5 linked regions of the Nothobranchius furzeri genome follow. The protein of the gene in region 5 binds, or shares a complex with, the protein of the main gene of each other region. Links are inferred from orthologs where the notes say so. Each region holds a gene or a part of one and is shown on either strand. Other genes may lie near its edges. The genes, in order: polr2h, taf1b, polr1h, polr1b and ubtf.

Region 1 (4,092 bases), on a different chromosome or scaffold from region 5:
CAGGTAAATATTCAAAATCAGCTGGACCATCTTGGCATTTGCATACTTGTTAGGCTGTGTACGTCCTTTTGTAGGATTACTGGAACTACATAAACGTCTCCCCACTATGACAGAAAACACACCAACATAGCAGATTTCCATGTTGAAGAAGAGCATTGTTTACCTGAATGACACGAGTCTTAGAGTCTCTTAGAGCATTTCCTCTCGGTTTTGAGACCAGCTTGCCTTTCCTTTTGCATTCCTTGTCAAAAACCTGAACAGTCTCCTCAAACTCCTCAAACGTGAGGTACTGCAACAAACAAACAAACATGATTCAACTTAAACAGTGAAGGATGACACTGAGTTTTGGTGCATTTCATTCATTTTCAGCGAACATCAATATTGCTGTGACCCAGATATCTTCTCTACCTCTTTGATCATCCCAAGAAGATCAGCTTCTGTTGCCAAGACGTCCCCCATCTTGGCTTCCTCACTGGAACTCATGTGTGTACCGAAAACATTTAATACCCCTTTAGACGGGAACGATTTCTGCTTTCATTCAAAAACGTTTATAGATCTAGGGTTCAAGCTAAAAGGTGCAAGAACAAAAGAGCAAAATACATAAGTAAAAACTTAATTCTATGAGCAGTAGTAAAAATAACCAAACACCAAAACGCACAACGGAATGCTAGTGTAACTTCGGCAGGCATGTGGGGTTTTATACCATCTTAAATGGTTTAACATCAAGATTAGCAACAACTTATGAAGCTACAAGCTATCTAATTAGTTGACACACGACAGGACATTAACATGGCTCCTACCTTATTCGCACGTAATTTGATTTGGGAGAATTGACGTACAAACAAGTTTGTGATGCGTTAACAAGTAAACGAGATCCATAAAGTACATTTTTGCTCGCTTTGTCGGACAGTGAACGAAAAAATAGCTGGCAACCACAAACAGGAGGGACGCTAAAAATACCTAGCAACCAGAGGGTCACCGGAAAGTAAATGTGAGTGTCGTAAACTAAAACTAACTAAATGTATTATATTTTACAAGAAAATATATTGAATAACCTTAAGTTATGAGGCATGCGATTTAGAAAAACAAAAGTAAACGATTGTAAATTATAACAACGCACAGACAAACGTAATTGTTGACCTTTTTTAGGATACATTATGCAATTTTAATGGTAAAACTATTATTTTAGTACGAGTATTATATTTTTACAATTTCTTATGTTTTACTTTGCTTTTTAACATAAACATTTATTTTTTCATTTTATTTTGTTTTATGAGAAGTACTTCCCGTGTCAAAGGTTAATCACGTTGTTTCTGCGCGCCACAGATTGGCTAGATAGCAATGAATTAAATTACTCTTAAATAACAAATCTAGCTTATGTTTTGAACAGTCGCTGTTGTCCTAAAGAATCGAGTAGTTGCGAGGCTTCTGTGTTTGCATTACGACATCTAAAAATAATTTGGGGTAAGTGCAACAAATGAATTAACAGTATGCTAAAGCTAGCTGTTAGCCAAAATAGGAGATTCAACGTGGAAGATAAAACTTGCCAACTTTAACTGACGTATGTCCTAGTCTTATTTTTATATAAAAGTATTTTATGGTAATATGCTTATAGCAGTTGATTTCTTGTGCTACCTAACGTTTCATTGCTTTTTAAAAGTTACTATAGTTTATTACGTTTTATTTTTTGTTGACAGGTTGTTCAAGTCATAACAGGGGCTTAAACATTTGATCCCCTGCACAAATTCACAGAGTGGGCCAACGATGGCTGGAATTTTGTTTGAAGATATCTTTGATGTGAAAGACATTGATCCAGATGGCAAGAAGTTTGACAGAGGTACTTATGAAGTACAATAACGTATTGGGGTGACTTATTTAATTATTCCATCATATTGTTTTTGTCGTATTGACATAATGCACAGGTATATTGACTCATGAGTAATCATTTATTCTACGTTTTTATTTGCCCACGTTAAGGCAGACTTTACATAGTGATGTTAAAGAAAATCTGGCATCCTGAAGTTAAAAGCTAATATAAAATTGAAAGACATTCAGCTCATTAAGAGAGCAGTTAAAAAACCAACTTGCTTATTGGATTTAGTTTATACAGGTGCTGGCCAGTAAATTAGAATATCATCAAAAGGTTGAAAATATTTCAGTAATTCCATTCAAAACGTGAAACTTGTACATTATATTCATGCAATGCACACAGACCAATGTATTTCCAATGTTCATTACATTTAAATTAGATATTCATAAGTGACAACTAATGAAAACTCCAAATTTGGTATCTCAAAAAATTAGAATATTCTGAAAAGGCTGAATATAGAAGACACCTGCTGCCACTCTAATCAGCTGATTTACTCAAAACACCTGCAAAGGCCTTTAAAAGGTCCCTCAGTCTTGTTTTGAAGGCACCACAATCATGGGGAAGACTTCTGACTTAACAGCTGTCCAAAAGACAATCATTGACACCTTGCACAAGGAGGGCAAGACACAAAAGGTGATTGCTAAAGAAGCTGGCTGTTCGCAGAGCTCTGTGTCCAAGCACATTAACAGACAGGCGAAGGGACGGATAAAATGTGGTAGAAAAAAGTGTACAAGCTCTAGGGATAACCGCACCCTGCAGAGAATTGTGACGACAAACCCATTCAAAAATGTGGGGGAGATCCACAAAGAGTGGACTGCAGCTGGAGTCAGCGCTTCAAGAACCACCACGAGGAGACTCATGAAAGACATGGGATTCAGGTGTCGCATTCCGTGTGTCAAGCCACTCTTGAACAAGAAACAGCGCAAGAAGCGTCTCGCCTGGGCCAAGGACAAAAAGGACTGGACTGATGCTGAGTGGTCCAAAGTTATGTTTTCTGATGAAAGCAAGTTCTGCATTTCCTTTGGAAATCAAGGACCCAGAGTCTGGAGGAAGAGCGGAGAAGCACAGAATCCACGTTGCATGAGGTCCAGTGTAAAGTTTCCACCGTCAGTGATGGTGTGGGGTGCCATGTCATCTGCCGGTGTTGGCCCACTCTGTTTCCTGAGGTCCAGGGTCAATGCAGCCGTCTACCAGGAAGTTTTAGAGCACTTCATGCTTCCTGCTGCTGACCAACTTTATGGGGATGCAGACTTCACCTTTCAACAGGACTTGGCACCTGCACACAGTGCCAAAACCACCAGCACCTGGTTCAAGGACCATGGTATCCCTGTCCTTGATTGGCCAGCAAACTCGCCTGACCTTAACCCCATAGAAAATCTATGGGGTATTGTGAAGCGGAGGATGCAATACGCTAGACCCAACAATGCAGAGGAGCTGAAGACGACTATCAGAGCAACCTGGGCTCTCATAACACCTGAGCAGTGCCACAGACTGATCGAGTCCATGCCACGCCGCATTACTGCAGTTATTGAGGCAAAAGGAGCCCCAACTAAGTATTGAGTGCTATACATGCACATTCTTTTCATGTTCATTCTTTTCAGTTGGCCAACATTAGAGAAACAAACATTTTTTCATTGGCCTTTAGAATATTCTAATTTTCTGAGATACCAGATTTGATGTTTTCATTGGTTGTCACCTATAAATATCAAAATTAAACGTAATAAACATCGGAAATACATTGGTCTGTGTGCATTGCATGAATATAATGTACAAGTTTCACGTTTTGAATGGAATTACTGAAATATTTTCAACCTTTTGATGATATTCTAATTTACTGGCCAGCACCTGTATAACCTACAGCAGACAATGTTTATAATCTACTGACAAATTCTCACCTATTGCAGTGTCTCGTCTGCACTGTGAGAGTGAATCTTTTAAGATGGACCTCATCTTGGACGTGAACATTCAGATCTATCCTGTGGATCTTGGTGAGAGCGTAAGCCCTTTTACCGAGGGCACTCTTATTTAGTTAATTCTTAATACAATAAAAATCTGACTTATAACATATTATAAAGGTGACAAGTTTAGACTGGTGATTGCCAGTACTTTGTATGAAGATGGAACACCGGATGATGGAGAGTACAATCCTCAGGATGATCGACCATCTCGGTGAGACATTTTTTGCACTCTTCCATCATCTCGTAGTGTGTGTGATCTTTTGA
Region 2 (4,133 bases), on a different chromosome or scaffold from region 5:
CCGGAGCAGAGCGTCAGCCTGGTTCTTCAGGATGAACTGGAACCCCTCACAGACCAGCCAGGTGTAGCCGCGCTCTGAGGAACATCAACCTGTCAGAAACTAAACTGAAGTTCCCCTGCAGCTAGAAAACATCTGGGGACGGCTTTAGAGACCAGAAAGGTCTGTGTTTGTAAAATAAAGTTGTGTGTGTGTGGTGTATGTGTGTGTGTGGTGTATGTGTGTGTGTGGTTATTCCAGCTGAAACCACCTCAGAGGACACACCCACCTTCTTTACTGGTTCTGGGTCCTTTGGCGATAGATTTTAATCTGTTGGAGCTTCCAGCGACGCTCAGGTCCACCACCTCTATGGTCCTCTGAGCACAGGAACATGTATAAAAACCATCAGGGGAGGCCTCAGATAAAACAGCGCCTCCTGCTGACAGCCACAGGCACTACAGCTGCCAAAAACCCGTTTTAACCACGTTCCATGGCAATGACGCTGACAGGCTCAATTGTACGTAAAAGCGTTGGACTTGGGAGGCAGAGGAAACAGGAAATCAGTCAGAAAGTCTAGAGCATTTATCATTCAAGCTGATGAGGACCTTAAGATCAGTAGAGCCTGCTGTCCAGTAATCAGAGGGAGTGCAAAATGACAACCTCACCTCTCAGACAACCCCAGGGCAGCATGGCTACGTTTGAGTTTTCCATCACCAGCAGAGAGCCCAAAAGCTCTTTATAAATCTAATCTATTATTATTATCAGCAGTAAACAGCTGCAGCAAGGTACCAACTGTCTCTTTAAAATGTGAACTCAGGAGTTTCCTTCACTGTGCTTATTATTATTATAATTATTATTATTATCTAGCAGTCTAACACTAAATGCTCCAGCCTCTCAGAAGTGCAAGCTAGCATGGCTAAAGCTAACGGAAAGCTTAAACCCACATTAATAACGTCCATGCAGACACATGTTCAGAAACCACAATATGAGAATTTAGAAGCTTCTAACTTTCAGAGTTTTAAGACATCTGAGGAAGTGTTACCATGGTAACATACTCATTGATTCTCATGTAAGTTCTCTTGTTCGCTCTTCCTTCTTCCATCTCAGGAACATTGCTAAGCTGAGTCCCATTCTGTCCTGCTCTGAACTTGAGACAGTTATCCACACCTTCATCTCCTCACGTTTAGACTACTGTAACTCTTTTTTCACGTGTCTGAGCAGAACCTCCCTGAACCGTCTGCAGGTGGTTCAGAATGCCTGTGCGCCGCTTCTGACCAAGTCCTCCAAACACACCTACATCACTTGTAAGTTGTTGTTGTTGTTTACCTCTATGACGTTGTGGCAGGACATGCAGTAGAAACGACCTTCTTCTGAGATGCCCCAGTTCACCGCTGCACACTGAGCGCAGGGCTCCCTGTAGCCAGCCTGGACAGGAACACAGGTACGGGTGAAGAGAGCAACTCAAACTCACCTGAGCTTTTGACAAAAACCTAAAAATTATTACTAATATTATTAATATTCTCACAACTCACACAAGTAGATTCACAACAAACTTTGAATAAAAAAGCAAATAAAAAGTAATAAATTAAATCTAAAATCTGATGCATAATAAGAAAAATGTTTGTAAGAAACTTGAAAAATGAGAACCTTCAGTGAGTTAGACAAAAATTAGCTTTTGAAGAAAAATTAGATAAATTAAATGAAACAGAAAGAAAGAGTAAAATGTTAAATCTTACTTTCTTGACCACAGCAGGATGTTGGTGCATCAAAACGGGTTTAAATACTCAATAAATAATAAACACAAATAAAAGCTTAACTATTAGCAGCTTCTGCTCCACCTGGTTCAGAAAGCCTGTGCTCGGCTTCTGACCAAGTCCTCCAAACACACCCACATCACCCCGCTTCTCCTCCAGCTTCACTGGCTGCCAGTCAATTTCAGGGTTCATTTCAAGATCCTGGTTCTGGTCTATAGGGCCTTACATGGACAAGCACCATCTTACATTGGTGATCTTCTTAGTCCCTACACCCCCAGCAGGTCCCTGAGGTTCAGTGACCAAAGCCTACTGGTTGTGCAGCACCAGGCTAAAGGTGACAGATTATTTGCTGCTGTGGCCCCCAGACTTTGGACCTCTCTCCCCCGAGCCTGAGGTCAGTGGACTACGTGGTCTCCTTTAAACTCACCTGTGCAGGCTTTAGTGGGACCTTCATCACCTCCCTCTCCGTGTTCTGCTCTTATTCCGCCTTTCATGTGATCCACTGGTTTCCCACTTTTTCTCATTTTAAACATATTTTAAATCCTTTTTATACTTTTTTTAAGCTCCACGTGATTTTTATCTTGACAGGCGCTACATAAAAGATCGTTTTCTTTCTTTTTTCTTCACAGCTCTAATTAGGTGGAATGCTAGCCAAAACTACTAACCTCTACATGAACGATTGAATAACTACGTTGATCGTGTTGGTAACGTTACTAAATCTATGCCGATTACTAAACCGACCGCTGTAGATTCCGACCAAGTTGTTAAATGATTTCTTTCGGACTTCGTATTTAATAATAATGAAAGAAGGCGTGTTGTTAATAGGGTTGTGTGTGCCTCAACCAGCTAGCTAACATCAACATTCCCCCTTAATTAAATGTACGCGACATATTTACAAATAAAAAATGCTTAAATGTGTTTACCGTAGCGTCTTCATCCATCGTGATTTAAAACTAAAGTCTGGTCATTATGTGTTTAATTTATTCATTAGGTTTTCCTTTTAGCTCTCAAGCTAAAATGAGAGAAGCGTATTTGTAGCTGGAACCGCTTCATCTTCATCGGTTGATTTTAGCGACTGCAAGGTTTCTATACTGCCACCAACAGGTTGCAATGTGAACTACAACCGCCAACTATGGTTATAACTCGCTTTTGCTGTCTGTGTAATTCAACATTCATCAATTACGTGTCAAGTACATCCGGAAGAAAATGTTTTACAACGTTCCAATTAAAACTATTGAAAGCTCATTTAGATTTTTCACAAAGTTATTCAAAAGGTATTTTATGTAGAGTTCTGCTGTATTTTATTGTATTTTTGTCATATCTGATGTTCGGTTCGGCCGTCATGTTTGCTGGTGGTGTTTTACAGACTTTGGCCTCTCGTTTAAAAGCGGATTTGGATTTGGATGAGATCAGAGATTATAAAAAGACTCGCCAGATGTTTCCGTCTTTCTCTTATGTTACGTCACGAATCGAGTCGCTTTTCAGAAGAAACTTTATTTTTGTGTCTTTCTGTTGTGGTTCTGGAAGTTAGGAGCTTATGTTTCTTGTACAATCGCTAAAATTCACGACCCAACTGCTGGGTTCATCTTTCACGAGCTCAGAGAGCACACACGCGTTCTACTCACGAGCCCGTCGAGCGCGCGACAACACGCACAACAAGCTGAGGCGCACTTTCAAAATAAAAGCAAACACTAAAACAAAACAAAGAATTTAAGAAATTATTCATTTGCTGTGTACCAAGAAAATATCAAATAAACTGTTACAAGATAGTTGCTTACATATTATGTATTTATGTTTAATGTAGCTATTATTTTGAGTTAAATATATATTTTATATAATTTCACATGTTTCACCAAAGCTCAGGCTTCTAATTGTGAAAAACAAGTAGGTAACTCAAATTGGCAATAATAAACTATTTTCACAGTTAGACTTTCTTTTAAATTAATGTATTTGGTCCAATGGCTTTCATTTGGACTAATTTGATTTTATCCTGGTGCACGTGTCAGTTATTTCATTCAGATTCAAATCCAAATTATGTTTATGTATTTAGCAGACGCTTTTGTCCAAAGCGACTTACAAGTGATAATTGGCATGTTGCCCTTGATGCTAACAACAACAATAACAACAACAAACAATTTCCAGTCAGTTGTAGGTAGCAGCGAGGCAGCATGATGAATCATGGAGAGGAGGGAACAATAATAATAATAATAATAATAATAATAATAATAATAATAAAAAACTTTATTAATCCCTCGGGTGAATTCCTTCGGGAAATTCAGTTTCCAAAAAAAGCAGCGCAACACCGACAGAGGTTACAGAACGTCAGAAAATATTATATAATAATAAAAATAGAAATAAATATAAAAATACAATTGAATTGCACCTTCCGGATATCAACGTCCT
Region 3 (4,059 bases), on a different chromosome or scaffold from region 5:
ATGTGAATAGTTTTTGTAGGTGTTTTTGTTATGACAGCAACAAGCAAATTAAACTGTTCTAAAAAGCTAAAACGATAAATTTTGAAAAAAAAAATAATAATTGTAATCCCTGATTGAAATATGTATTTTTTAAGTGTGTGTGTTTCTAAAATTCAAGATAATTGTGTTGGATTTCCCTCTTTCCTATTCAATCTCTCTCTTTATTTACATTTTTAATCACAATTGTCTATCTTTTGCTCATTTTAAATATATTTTTAATCATTTTCTAAATTCTTTTTTATATTTTTACATTTTTTGTTTTTGTGAAGCGCCTCGTGATTTTTATCTTGAGAGGCGCTATAGAAGAGATCTTTTCTTCTTCTTCTTCTTGGATGCGTATTGTTTTTAATGAAAAAACAATAAAGGAGAAAGGCAACAATCAGTCAGACTAAGCTCTCCCAGAGTTACCACAAGGACTGTCCTTCATCTGCCCATCTCAAATGCAGTTGACTCCACCTGCTGAGAAACTGAGGTCCTTCAGAGTATGCAGAACTCTGTGAAGGACTTTTTATGATTTGTCGGTTGCATCTGCCCTTTTCTATGCAGTGGCCTGTTGGGGAAGCGGATGTACAGACAGGGACCAGAACAGAATTGGCAAACTGGTGCAGAGGACTAGCTCTGTACTGGGATGCCCCCTGGAATCGGTGGTGGGCGAGAGGAGGATGCTAGCTAAGCTAACATCCATCATGAACAACACACATCAACCTGAGCAGCTCATTCAGTCAGAAACTGATATACCCCCGCTGCAGGAAGGAGCACTCCCGTAGACCACCGATTCCACCAGTAGATGGGATTTATAACACATTATGACGTCATTAGTCAGCCAGCCACTTAAACGCTACGGTCACTACTCCATGCAGGATGCACCTGATATATGTATTTGTTTGTGTGCTTACATGTTCATGCCTGTATTTACAGTAATCTACCACATAGACGGTAAATAGTAGCTGTAGCACAACAGCTGATACTTTTTATGTATTATTAATTCATGTGACACACGTGATCGCCAGTGGAATTAAGGTGAAAAACAAGCTAACTTTCCACAGTTTTCCTGTTTAGTGGCAAAACGACAGAGACCAAGTATCTAGCATAAAGTCTTGTTAGCTCACTTGGATCGCAGCTGTAAGGCGACCAAACATCACCTTCCAAATTATTTTCATTCTGGTAAATTACAGATGGTGTACGTTTTTATACATCGTTTCTTTCCCTCAACCGCAACATGCACACGAAACACACACGTACACAGAGGCTACACTCACCTACCGGTAAGCTAATGATACACAACATAACTTTTCTCGCTACACTTCTTCTGAGGGATGACAATTTTGATTGTTTTACTAGAAAAACCAACAAATTAAACGTTTACCTCTCATCTGGACGTTAAACAAGATAGCCGAAAAAGTCTGTTATGCAGAACTGCAGCTGCAACAATATGTCACCAGTGCTCCAGTCTTGGGTCTTTTATGTGGATCAAAACCATTTATAATGATGATTTTGTCCACATACCGGTCCCCGACGTCTTTATATAACATGTCCCTGTATATTCCACATCCTTGTTGGGATTTTATGTGATTTAACACTTTCTTTCACCCAAATCTGCTTCTACTCTGCGACAGTACCGTTTATTTCACAGTTTGCAGAATGCTATGCGTAATCACGTGTGATCACAAGCCCTACACAAAATCTGCTGATTTTAGAAGCATTAATGTCGGTATATCGGTATCGGTTTTCGGCCATAACGGTGATATTAATATTGTATATTTGTTTTAGCCCAAAAATTTCATATCGGTGCATCACTATCACGTTAAATACATTTACTGTGAAGTGATTTTTTTTTCTTTTTACTACACTTGTGGTACTTTGAGGAATCATCACCACCTCCACCCGGGTTCCCAAACAGCCTCTTGAATCAGGCCCTCACAAAGCTAGAAACGGCTCTGGGACACGTTACCTGAAACAGGAATGCAGAAGGAGCAGCGAGGACACAGGACAGTGTTGGAGGTTACTGGTACCGGAAGAACGTTCCCGCATTCAGGACAGAAGTTCGGGTCACCACTAAAATAAGACATCCCGTCGAACCGGGCTGCTGACTCTTGAGAAACACAGACACGTTGAAAACAACAATCAAAACCATGAACCACTGGTTTCCCGTTCGGTTCACATGGGTTCTGTTTCGTTCCCTCCTGACTGCCAGTGGCAGTAAACAGAGTGGATGTATCTCCTCGCGCTCTGCGCAGGTCGAGTACTAATGTAAACAAAGTCACGCACGTGACACGTAGCGCACCTGGTCGCGAGTCTATAAATTACGCGCCGATAGCTACGTTCGGGTCTCCCGGGATCTTCTCGCCCGAGAAGTTCCGAGTGACCCCTGTGACTGGCAGTCATCCAGGAACTCACAGAACCATAGTTACACCGTAACTTCCGTTATGAAGACTTAGCACTTTATAAATTAACACTTTAAAAGACCTCCTGGCTGTGTGATGAAATCTAACGAGTGAATGTTATTGTTATTATTAGCAGTAGTAGCAGCAGCACATTGAGCACGTGGAGCTACTTGGAAACCTTTTACATGTTTATATTAGTATTCGGCTATTCTTTACACATTTAGTTCAAAACAGCGCTACTGTCATCATTTATTAAGTCAGTATAAAACGTTACAAACCTCTTTCACCGGTCACTTGTTTGCAGTAGAGGTCCTAGGGTCCTATCCACAGCTATGTATATGGTCCTATCACGTTATTGTCGCAGGCTGATGACGCAGGACGTGCTAGTGTCGCACGCTTGTTTACGTGACATGAGTTAATGACCAAAATGTTATTTGGGAATAATTAAATTAATTCGCAAATACCATTAAATGGTGTCAAACAATAAAATAAGGTGGAAATATCATATAGCATCTCCAGAAGCATTTCAATACCAAAGTAAAGCATACGTGGAAATAATAAACAACACTAAACTCATAATTACTGTGCAGAGATTTGGGGCAACAATGACCAGGGGTGGTCCTAGCCTGTTCGGTGCCCTGGGCGAACACACTTTACTTTTAGATGCTGCTTCACTCAAGCCGCTTCAGCAGACCTGTCCTCCTCCCTCTGCAGCACGCAGCAGAACAAATGTTTCCAAAAGTTACACACACCAGCATAATGTTCAGGCACTGCGCTCCCAAAATAAGTTTTTTTTTCGTACCCATTTTGCCACCCCTCTCATGATGCCATCCTGGGCCATTACCCAGGTCGCCCATGTCAAAAACAGTACTGCTCATAACTGTTTATTTTTATCTATTTTACAAAAAAAAAAAAAAAAGAAGAAGAAAAAAAAGGCCACTAGAATAATCTACACATCGGTGGTTACAGATGTCACACAAACCAAATGTTCTTAAAATCACAAATTTTGAAATTTTCTGATTTAGTTTAGTTCACATTGGAGTGAAACTGGAACCGACCAGCTGAGACAGTGATGCTGTGTTTTCTTATCAGGCTGAAACCTATGATCATTCATTTGTTTGGTGCATGTATGTAGAAAATTTGAACGGATGTCTGACTTTTCCATAGGTGTTTTATTTTAATGAATTGTTTCCATATTATATTATTTGTGGACTCCTTTTAAATGTTAATGAAAATCAAAAATACAATTCATAATTTGAACACAGTAAAAGAATGACAAACAATAAGCCCTAATGCAAGTATTAATCTTTCTTTGATGATGTAGACATCACACATTCAGTAATTAAATGGTCCATCAATTCCTGCCATATAATGTGTCAGGGAGGAAACGGAACTTCACCAGCAGACGTGGATGGATCACAGAAGGTTGTTTCATCTTCCTTTGTTGTTTTCAAGACATCCCAGAAAAAGATTACAAAAAGTGGAGCATTAGAATAAAGCTTTGTGACTGAAGGTCGTGTTGCAAAATGTTATCATGAAGATTAAAATGTTTTAGCAACTTTATTAACAACATATCAATTCTACCATCATGTCTCACATGCCTCAGTGACAAATTTCTGGATTTAAATCATCCCAG
Region 4 (4,020 bases), on a different chromosome or scaffold from region 5:
CGAAAGAAAGGAATCAGCACAGAACAACGAGCTGAAGCTCCTCTCAGTGTCTACTCACCAAACTGGGTGTAGCCCTGACCCCTGCTCTTCCACTTGGGTCTCGACATGGCGATGGGATAGTTCCTCCTCGGCATTATCAGCATCCGGATCACCTTCTCGATTCCGTTCACGATGAAGTAACCTCCCATTTCCTGTTCAATTAACCAGCGTTTAGACGACATCCAATAACAGGAGGAGTCGCGTCAGCTCGGCTCACCTCTGCTTCTTCGTGATGCTTTACGAGCTCCTTGGGGGACATGCCGTAGAGGTTACACAGCTTTGACTTCACCATGATCGGCACCTGGCCCAGGGACTGCTTAATGATGCCTTTGGGAAAGCCGTTGATGGACCAGCTGACGTCTGCCTGAGATGACACATCGTCACACGCCTCACTACAAAACCTGCTACCTCACAGCTGCTCTTGATGAACAGAACATCTATGATAGCTTCCAGTCAGGTTTTCGTAGAGCTCATTCTACTGAAACAGCTCTTCTTAGGGTCTCTAATGACCTTCTGACTCACAGTGATGCAGGGGACGGTTCTGTTCTGGTCCTGCTGGACCTGACTGCAGCCTTTGACACTGTTGACCATCACCTGCTACTGGAGAGGCTGAGAGACTGGGTAGGCCTATCAGGAACTGCTCTGGAGTGGTACTCCTCTTTTCTTTCTGAGCGTTTCTTTTCTGTGGCCGTCTCCAAGTTTAGGTCCTCCACCACCTCTCTTACCCATGGTGTCCCACAAGGTTCTGTGCTGGGGCCTCTGCTCTTCCTCCTCTATCTGCTTCCTCTTCAGCACATCCTGAGCTCCTTCAAAGGAATCTCCTACCATCTTTATGCAGATGACATCCAACTGTACATCTCCTTTAAGCCCCATGAGATGTCTAAGCTGCAGCTGTTACACACCTGCTTAGACTCTATCAAAACCTGGATGGCTGGGAGTTTTCTTCAGCTGAATGAAGATAAGACTGAGATCCTCATCTGTGCCCCAGACAAGCTGGTTCCCAAAGTCAGAGACTCTCTTGGTCAGCTTGCTTCCCACACCAAAACTTCTGTCAGGAATCTTGGCGTGACCTTTGACCCAGCTCTCACCCTGGATTCTCATGTCAGTTCTCTTGTTGGCTCTTCCTTCTTCCATCTCAGGAACATTGCTAAACTGAGTCCCATTCTGTCCCGCTCTGAACTTGAGACAGTTCTCCACACCTTCATCTCCTCACGCTTAGACTACTGTAACTCTCTTTTCACGTGTCTGACCAGAACCTCCCTGAACCATCTACAGGTGGTTCAGAGTGCCTGTGCTCGGCTTCTGACCAAGTCCTCCAAACACACCCACATCACCCCCCTTCTCCTCCAGCCACTGATTTCCCTCTTTCCTATTAACTCTCTCTCTTTATTAAATTTTTTTTAATCACAATTGCCTATTTTTGCTCATTTTAAATGTATTTTTAAACATTTTCTAAATGCTTTTTTATATTTTTACATTTTTTGTTTTTGTGAAGCGCCTCGTGATTTTTATCTTGAGAGGCGCTATAGAAATGAAATTTTCTTCTTCATTCCAACAGGGAGGTGAGAGAGTTAGCCTAGCTTACCACCACTTTTCCTCGGTAAGTACTCCTCCTTCCTCTGCATTCTGCTGGAAACACCTTCATCTCTGTGCAGATGCTGCCTTTGGCGACCAGCGGGTTCTGGATGGTTGCATCAACGAACGTGAGGCTCAACTTTTCATTTCTGCACATGAACTCTATCGGAGGAATCGCCTGGAAAACATCAAACAAAAACTGTCCAAAAAGCAACCAGACGATCCCAAAAATCAACATGACCCCAAAGGAAAATAATAACAATAATAATAACCTCATCTACAGCCTTTAATAGTTAGTGAAGCTTCTGCTCTACTGCTGAGTAAAGGTTTGACCCTTTTCTGATATATGAAGTAGAAATGATAAATTTTAAATTTTAAAACATGTTATTGGCCAATTTTGTCATTTTACTTTTCTGTGCAATACGATTTCAGCCTGTAGTCTCGAATTTTATGTTCTAAATTGACTCCGTGTACCCCCCCACCCCCACACACACTTCATATCCTTTTGTTTTTTTCTGAACACTCAAGGGGGCTGCATCTAATTTTTTATGTGTTTTCACTGTAATACAGATATTCATTCAGGTGGTCAGAAGTCATGCTTTTAATTTGAAAAGTTTGAAATGAAAACATTTCATTCATAAAAAGTAACTGGTCCAAATTAGCGATTACATTTATTTACTACATTTTATTTCGTAATTAACTGTTCATTGTTTCCGTTTTAAATAAAGGTTTTTTATTGCCGTTAGAGACACATGTATGATATATGTCTACCAGATCTGACACACGTGGATTAAACATGTTAAAGTCAAAGAGGGCAACGAGAGGAGGAAATTAACCAGGAGTAGTATTTAGTCATTTCTCATATCCCTGCTGGAGTATTTATGATGTTTTAAATTATTAAAGTGAAAAAATAATTGTAAACCTGACTTTCTCACTGACCTGCACAAGGCGGTTGAGTCCATCAGTGACAGCCTGATCAAACGACTCGATGTGGGCTTTAGTCAGGTCCTGAACGGCGGCGTGTTGCGTCTCTTTCAGTTTACCGAATTCTCCATCGGTCAGGTTCTTTAGACTCGGTCCTGTCGGTACATTACTCCACTTAGCTGAAAAGTCCATGTTGGTGTAACCCGGGACGCTTGTTTACCACATGGACATCACGAAACAGGAAGTACATCACTGAAACAGGAAGTAGATCTGTCGTTGCTTTTTTTTTTTTTGTTGTTGTTCTCGAGTGATTTGTTAGCGCCCTCTTGTGGAGACAACGATGCGTTACACCAGTTTCCCTTTGCACTTGACGTCACGCTGCTCATGGGACTGTTTTCATTCACTTTTTCTTTGCTCATGTTCATAAAGCACATCAGTTGATCTCATAACAAAGTCTGTTTTTATGTGTAATTGTTGAGAAGCAACGCTCACTTCTACTGTGAGGGTAGCTGATGTGATTGGTGGTCGCGTATTTTCCAGAAGGGGGCGGTGTGTCACAGCCACACAGCTGCAGTTTTCAATAGAGAAGCGGGGGAGAATCAACGCTTAAACTGCAGTAAAATGTGCAAAAGCAGCATCTGGAAAGCGAGTAAAATAACCTATCTAACACAAAAGCTTGTAAAAGACTGAGTCCCGCTGTATTACTCAGGCTGCACTACAGTGTCTATTCACAGGCGCGATCCCACTACTGAGCGGCACGGGGGCTTTGACCTGCTCCGTTTCCGACCTGGGCCGGTGCACCCCTCCTTAGACGACCTGGTGGTCCCGGGCTTCCCCAGAAGCACCATATCGATACCGAACTTAGTGCGGACACCCGATCGACATAGTCCACTGCAGCTCAGAACTCCTGAGCTCAAACGATCCGCCAGCCTAAACCTCCCAGTAGCTTGGATTACAGGCACGCGCCACCGCACCCGGCGAGAGCTTCCTGTACTTATTGGGCTTTTAGCCTGTTAGCTGTTGACGTCATCCGACAGCGACACCCAGTGGTGTATCTCTGCTGGCTGGTCGTATTATGAACCCCCTGATACTGTGAGTTGTAAAATGTGTGTTCTTTTTGATGTTATTTGTAATTTTTGTAATGTTCTGATTTTAAGTAAAGGTTTGTAAAAAACGAGTTGCTATGTGCCTATGTCGTTTTATATTGTTTTACCTCATTATCAAAACAATTTTGAATATGCCAATTGGCTATATAAGCTATCCCCATAGACTGGCTATCCCAGGTGGATGGTGAGTGAAACGATGTATGTTCTAAAGAAAATGAGGGATATAGGGCCCAACTAAAAGACAAAACTTATCTTCAGGGAGTTCATCACACAGAGAGCCACTTATATCAGTATTTTTCTCAAAACGTTGCAAAAAAATTTGAATTGGTTTTAAAAAAAATCATTTAAATTCACTTTGTTTATCCTATATGTGGCT
Region 5 (4,102 bases):
ATGTAACAGATCATTTCCAAAAATAAGACAAACTTGTTTCTCATTGGAGGACCTCTTTAAGAACTTAATCTAAATATTACATCTGAAAAGGTTTACGACCTAAAAATCATGATCTGAGCATCTCACCTCTTTAGAGACCTCTTGCCATTTCTGTTTACACATCTCTGCAGTGTAGGAGTTGAAGGCCACCTTCTGCCAGTCCAGATGGGACTCGGATGTTTTGTATTTAGTCAGATCTTTCTGTGGCAGAGCCACTTTCATGGCCTCCAGCAGCTTTAGGAGGTCATCCTGCGACCACACTGATAAAAAAATACATGTAAACTGGTTCATGGATTTATTAGTATGGTTGCATTATGTTTATAGTATGATGACAAAATGTGGAATTCATTAAAACAATTTCGTGATTATACAAGTATTTGTCATTTGTTAAAAAAATATATATAAATAAAAATGACTCATAAATATACTACCTTGGTCATGTGTCGCTGCCTCCATTTCTCCATTCATTTGTGAAAATGCGATTTTTGAACTACAAAAGAAACAATAAATTAATCAAAATCACTAAAATTCATATTTTCTAACTTTATTATAACTGATCTCTGTTGTAAGTCGTTTGAGTTGAAATGTGTGCCGACATAATGGTTTATGTTCATTACACCGCCCCTAAACGTTTACGCTGCATGGTGAGGCATAGGCTATTGCTTGTGACGGCTTCAAATCTCAAATAACACTGCGGAGGGCTTCAACTAAGCATATCTAGCGACGACAACAGGAGTCCCTGTCGAGCTTCTTTTTTATTTTTTTTTATTTTTTATTTTTGGGCCAACCGGAATTTGGCGAATTAGTGCTGTCCTTATTCTACAACAGAAGTATCGTGGACGCTCAGGAGCGACCATTTTCTCGCTCGGTCTGCTCGGTAATGGAGGACTTTCTGTCGGAGCGGAGGTTGGGGAGGATCCACGGAAGGAGGAAGCGAATGAACGTGGACAGACAGGCAGCTGTAGGCGACCAGCTGACCACGGACGGGGGATCTGCTTTCGGTCTCCGACAGCCTGGAATGGCAGCTTGGAAGCACTGCAGCCAAATGCGCCACTCGGCGGAGACGCCTCATCACCGTTGGACGTGGATCTAGCTCCGCCACGCAGCCCTAAAGTCTTCTCCACTAATGTTTACCCAAAACAAGAACGACTAAACTAGCATTCTACGCGTGAGGGGGTTTATGTGTGCGTTTTAGAATAATTCACTCAACATTTTGTTCGCTTTGTGGTATCACGCAGTTGTTTTTTGGACCAAAAAGCCAGAGCATTCTTCAGCGAGGCGTAGCCGAGCTGTGCTCCAATGATGGCGGATGACCGTTGTTCATCTTGTCCTTGATAGCTCAACCGTGTCTCCTCGCGTCGTTTCTAACACTACTTTCGACATATTTCTTATGTAAAATGCGCAGAATGTCAAATTCAAACGTCGGATTTATGACGTTTAGTCAAAAATACTACATAAATGTGGAAAAAAAAACATAAGACGCCGTGTAACTTAGCATGTCGAAAAGAAGCCTAAAATCATACCAGCATCTAAGGTAGCACAGTTAGTCAACAGTATTTGCTACTAATCAAAATTTGTGTCACACAAGGACGATTTAGGGATCACATTAACTTGTGTTTACAACGTATAATTAACATGAATTATTTGACAACCATACAAAATGCTCCAAAATATTCTAAATTAAGTTACACCAGATCGAAAATTAATAAATGTTAGGTTAAATTATTTGCGGAGGCGCGAAACATAATTAAAATAAAAAATATATGTACGGTGAAACAACATTATTGACCTAATTTTGAATTACTTCATGTTAGTGTTAGTTATTCTCCGTTTCGAGGAAAATGTGGGCTTTAATCGGCTCTTTCATTATCGGATATCTAAAGAACAATCCGCGGCTGAGCAGCTTCTCTGGCGCGACAAAACGGCTCCAGGTCCGCCATGCTACCAGCCCCGCTCTTGTAAGCAAACCTACCGTGACAAGGTCCAATGGCGTACTGCGAACACTGAAAACGGAGCCGAAAGCTCTAGCCGGGGCGTTGCAGACTCCCTTCCCTAGCTCCAAAAAGCGCATAAGCGAGGACGGAAAGGCGGGTTCTCCGAGCTCGGTTGTCGGTGGTTCTGGGCTAGTCAGTGAGAGAGAGAGGGGGAGAGGGGAGGGCGAGTCTCCTCACGGTGAGATATTAAACCGAGATCCCTGATGGCTGACCGAGAGGCGGCTAGCTGTTCCGCCAACAGCCGCGTGGAGGTCTCGGCGCGGAAACTACCGGAAAACATTTCCCCACGCGAAACAAACGATTGCTTAGCTAAATCCCGATGCTACGTGAAACTAATTCGCTTCATGAATTCACTGGGTGTAATTTATAGTAGACATCATACCACTGGGTCTTACATCCAGCTTCTTCCCCGCTGTTTGGGCAGAGAAATTCGGGTAAGGCCGACCTCGTCTGCGCCCTTCCAGCGGGGAGTTTGTTTCGTTACCACAAAGATCCTGCCGCCTAAGGAGCTTTGGTAGACAACATTAAAAACAGAATGTCTATTTTTCGACTTTTAACCGCTTTTCTGGTTTGTTTATCGCGCTCTTTCCACGTGTGGTTATGAAACCGACCGACTTTCGTGCTGCTTACCTGTCTCGGCGCGAGCCTCCGCGTCGCTGTGGATGAAGAAGGGGAGGGTTGAACGATAGCCAGCACTGCGCCGTCGGTCCTGGGCTCCAGTCCCCGCAGAGATGGTCCTTCCCCCCGCCTCCATCTCTCTCGCTGTCTCCCTCCAGTCAACGTGCAGCAGCTCTCTTCTCTCCATCCAACCATTTCCGCTACACCGACACATCCCCATGTTCCCCAGTGTTAACGCCGCTGATTTTCTGAGCTCAGCCAGCAGAGTTTATTGTTTCTCATCGAGCCCGACTTTCACGTCTCCCACTGAAGTTTGCATCTCTAACATTTCGTCTGCCTACACTTGAAAGAAAAATCGCTTTACTGGTTACCTAATTTAAACGCCACCAGTGAACTTTTTTTCATTGAACGCACACATCTTTAAAGTTTATAATTGACACCAATCAGTGTCTGATTATTCTCCTAACTCTTATTTCCGGTGTCCGTGCCGTTCCCCCGGCACCAAACCTCTTTGACTCAAACGTAACTGGCTGTTTGACAGCTTCATTTTAGCCCAGCATGTTATTTTTTCAACTCCACCTTGTGTGTTTGTGGGCGGAACCCCCGGCCGTCCAATCCAGTCCGTCCGATTGAAGGAAAACAAAGACTTTCAGGCACTCAGTCTTGTTAAACTGTGCTATGTTCACTTACAGTAGGAATAAAGTATTATTGGATTAGTGTCAGGAATTTAGCTAACTGGACAAAAACAGTCGTCTTTTGTTTTAGTTTAGTGATTTTAATATCAACCTTCCCAGGCACTACAGGTGGAAATTAGCATCCCCACTATAACCTGGTACATTGCATCTTTCTTTTGTGGTTAATGTCAAGTTGTGCACTGTCACTGTTTAAATAAACTTCTACAATTACAATTAAAATTATATAATATAGTTTGAAGAATTCAATTGTGTTATCTTTTTTGTTTACCTTAAATTTCAATTATCCTGTTCGTATTTATCTTTCACAGTAATTTATATCATGTTTCCTGTATGTGGTTACAAAGTATTAAATCGAATTTAACGTGTAATTGTTAATTACTTTTTTGTTTTGCCTTTGATGAAGATTGAAATCATGAATATGGCTGAATAAAACTAGACAATACTAGACTTAAAAATAAAACCAACTATTTAACCTATTAGCAGGATAAAAAGGCAGCTAAAATAGTAATTTTCCCATGTAGAATATTATGCTTGCGTATCATGTTTTTAGAACGTTTATGTTTTAAATAGTATTTTAAACATAATATAAGAATAACGAACACATTTCTCTCTGAGGAACAATCCTACTATAATTTATCTCATTAAGACTCTTGGCAAACAAGTCGCCATCCACTAGTTTTGAATAAAAACTTTATAGTACTGGGATTTACGTGATCACCTTGAAAGCAGCCTAGAACTTTGGCTTAAAGCATGAAA

The links.
Region 1: ubtf (region 5) and polr2h share a complex: the UniProt entries of both Homo sapiens proteins name them as parts of the pol I pre-initiation complex. The link is inferred for Nothobranchius furzeri from reciprocal best matches to the Homo sapiens genes UBTF and POLR2H.
Region 2: ubtf (region 5) and taf1b share a complex: the UniProt entries of both Homo sapiens proteins name them as parts of the pol I pre-initiation complex. The link is inferred for Nothobranchius furzeri from reciprocal best matches to the Homo sapiens genes UBTF and TAF1B.
Region 3: ubtf (region 5) and polr1h share a complex: the UniProt entries of both Homo sapiens proteins name them as parts of the pol I pre-initiation complex. The link is inferred for Nothobranchius furzeri from reciprocal best matches to the Homo sapiens genes UBTF and POLR1H.
Region 4: ubtf (region 5) and polr1b share a complex: the UniProt entries of both Homo sapiens proteins name them as parts of the pol I pre-initiation complex. The link is inferred for Nothobranchius furzeri from reciprocal best matches to the Homo sapiens genes UBTF and POLR1B.

Annotation. Positions count from the first base shown.
Region 1 is NC_091748.1:62,882,982-62,887,073, reverse strand, and holds the start of polr2h (DNA-directed RNA polymerases I, II, and III subunit RPABC3), read left to right. Parts: upstream 1-1,291; 5' UTR 1,292-1,464; intron 1,465-1,697; exon of another isoform or gene 1,698-1,752; 5' UTR 1,753-1,764; coding exon 1,765-1,837; intron 1,838-3,774; coding exon 3,775-3,858; intron 3,859-3,945; coding exon 3,946-4,039; intron 4,040-4,092. Other genes in the region: lisH domain-containing protein ARMC9, read right to left, coding at 164-289, 409-483. UniProt on the Homo sapiens protein: DNA-dependent RNA polymerase catalyzes the transcription of DNA into RNA using the four ribonucleoside triphosphates as substrates.
Region 2 is NC_091742.1:16,192,729-16,196,861, reverse strand, and holds the start of taf1b (TATA box-binding protein-associated factor RNA polymerase I subunit B), read right to left. Parts: upstream 2,804-4,133; 5' UTR 2,672-2,803; coding exon 2,654-2,671; intron 1,402-2,653; coding exon 1,303-1,401; intron 354-1,302; coding exon 266-353; intron 75-265; coding exon 1-74. UniProt on the Homo sapiens protein: Component of RNA polymerase I core factor complex that acts as a GTF2B/TFIIB-like factor and plays a key role in multiple steps during transcription initiation such as pre-initiation complex (PIC) assembly and postpolymerase recruitment events in polymerase I (Pol I) transcription.
Region 3 is NC_091751.1:25,535,699-25,539,757, reverse strand, and holds the start of polr1h (DNA-directed RNA polymerase I subunit RPA12), read right to left. Parts: upstream 2,806-4,059; 5' UTR 2,702-2,805; intron 2,132-2,701; 5' UTR 2,109-2,131; coding exon 1,991-2,108; intron 1-1,990. UniProt on the Homo sapiens protein: Core component of RNA polymerase I (Pol I), a DNA-dependent RNA polymerase which synthesizes ribosomal RNA precursors using the four ribonucleoside triphosphates as substrates. Can mediate Pol I proofreading of the nascent RNA transcript.
Region 4 is NC_091752.1:7,757,642-7,761,661, reverse strand, and holds the start of polr1b (DNA-directed RNA polymerase I subunit RPA2), read right to left. Parts: upstream 2,802-4,020; 5' UTR 2,731-2,801; coding exon 2,554-2,730; intron 1,793-2,553; coding exon 1,625-1,792; intron 404-1,624; coding exon 257-403; intron 192-256; coding exon 59-191; intron 1-58. UniProt on the Homo sapiens protein: Catalytic core component of RNA polymerase I (Pol I), a DNA-dependent RNA polymerase which synthesizes ribosomal RNA precursors using the four ribonucleoside triphosphates as substrates.
Region 5 is NC_091745.1:10,210,442-10,214,543, reverse strand, and holds the start of ubtf (nucleolar transcription factor 1), read right to left. Parts: upstream 2,802-4,102; 5' UTR 2,664-2,801; intron 2,169-2,663; exon of another isoform or gene 2,012-2,168; intron 530-2,011; 5' UTR 508-529; coding exon 471-507; intron 300-470; coding exon 127-299; intron 1-126. UniProt on the Homo sapiens protein: Recognizes the ribosomal RNA gene promoter and activates transcription mediated by RNA polymerase I (Pol I) through cooperative interactions with the transcription factor SL1/TIF-IB complex.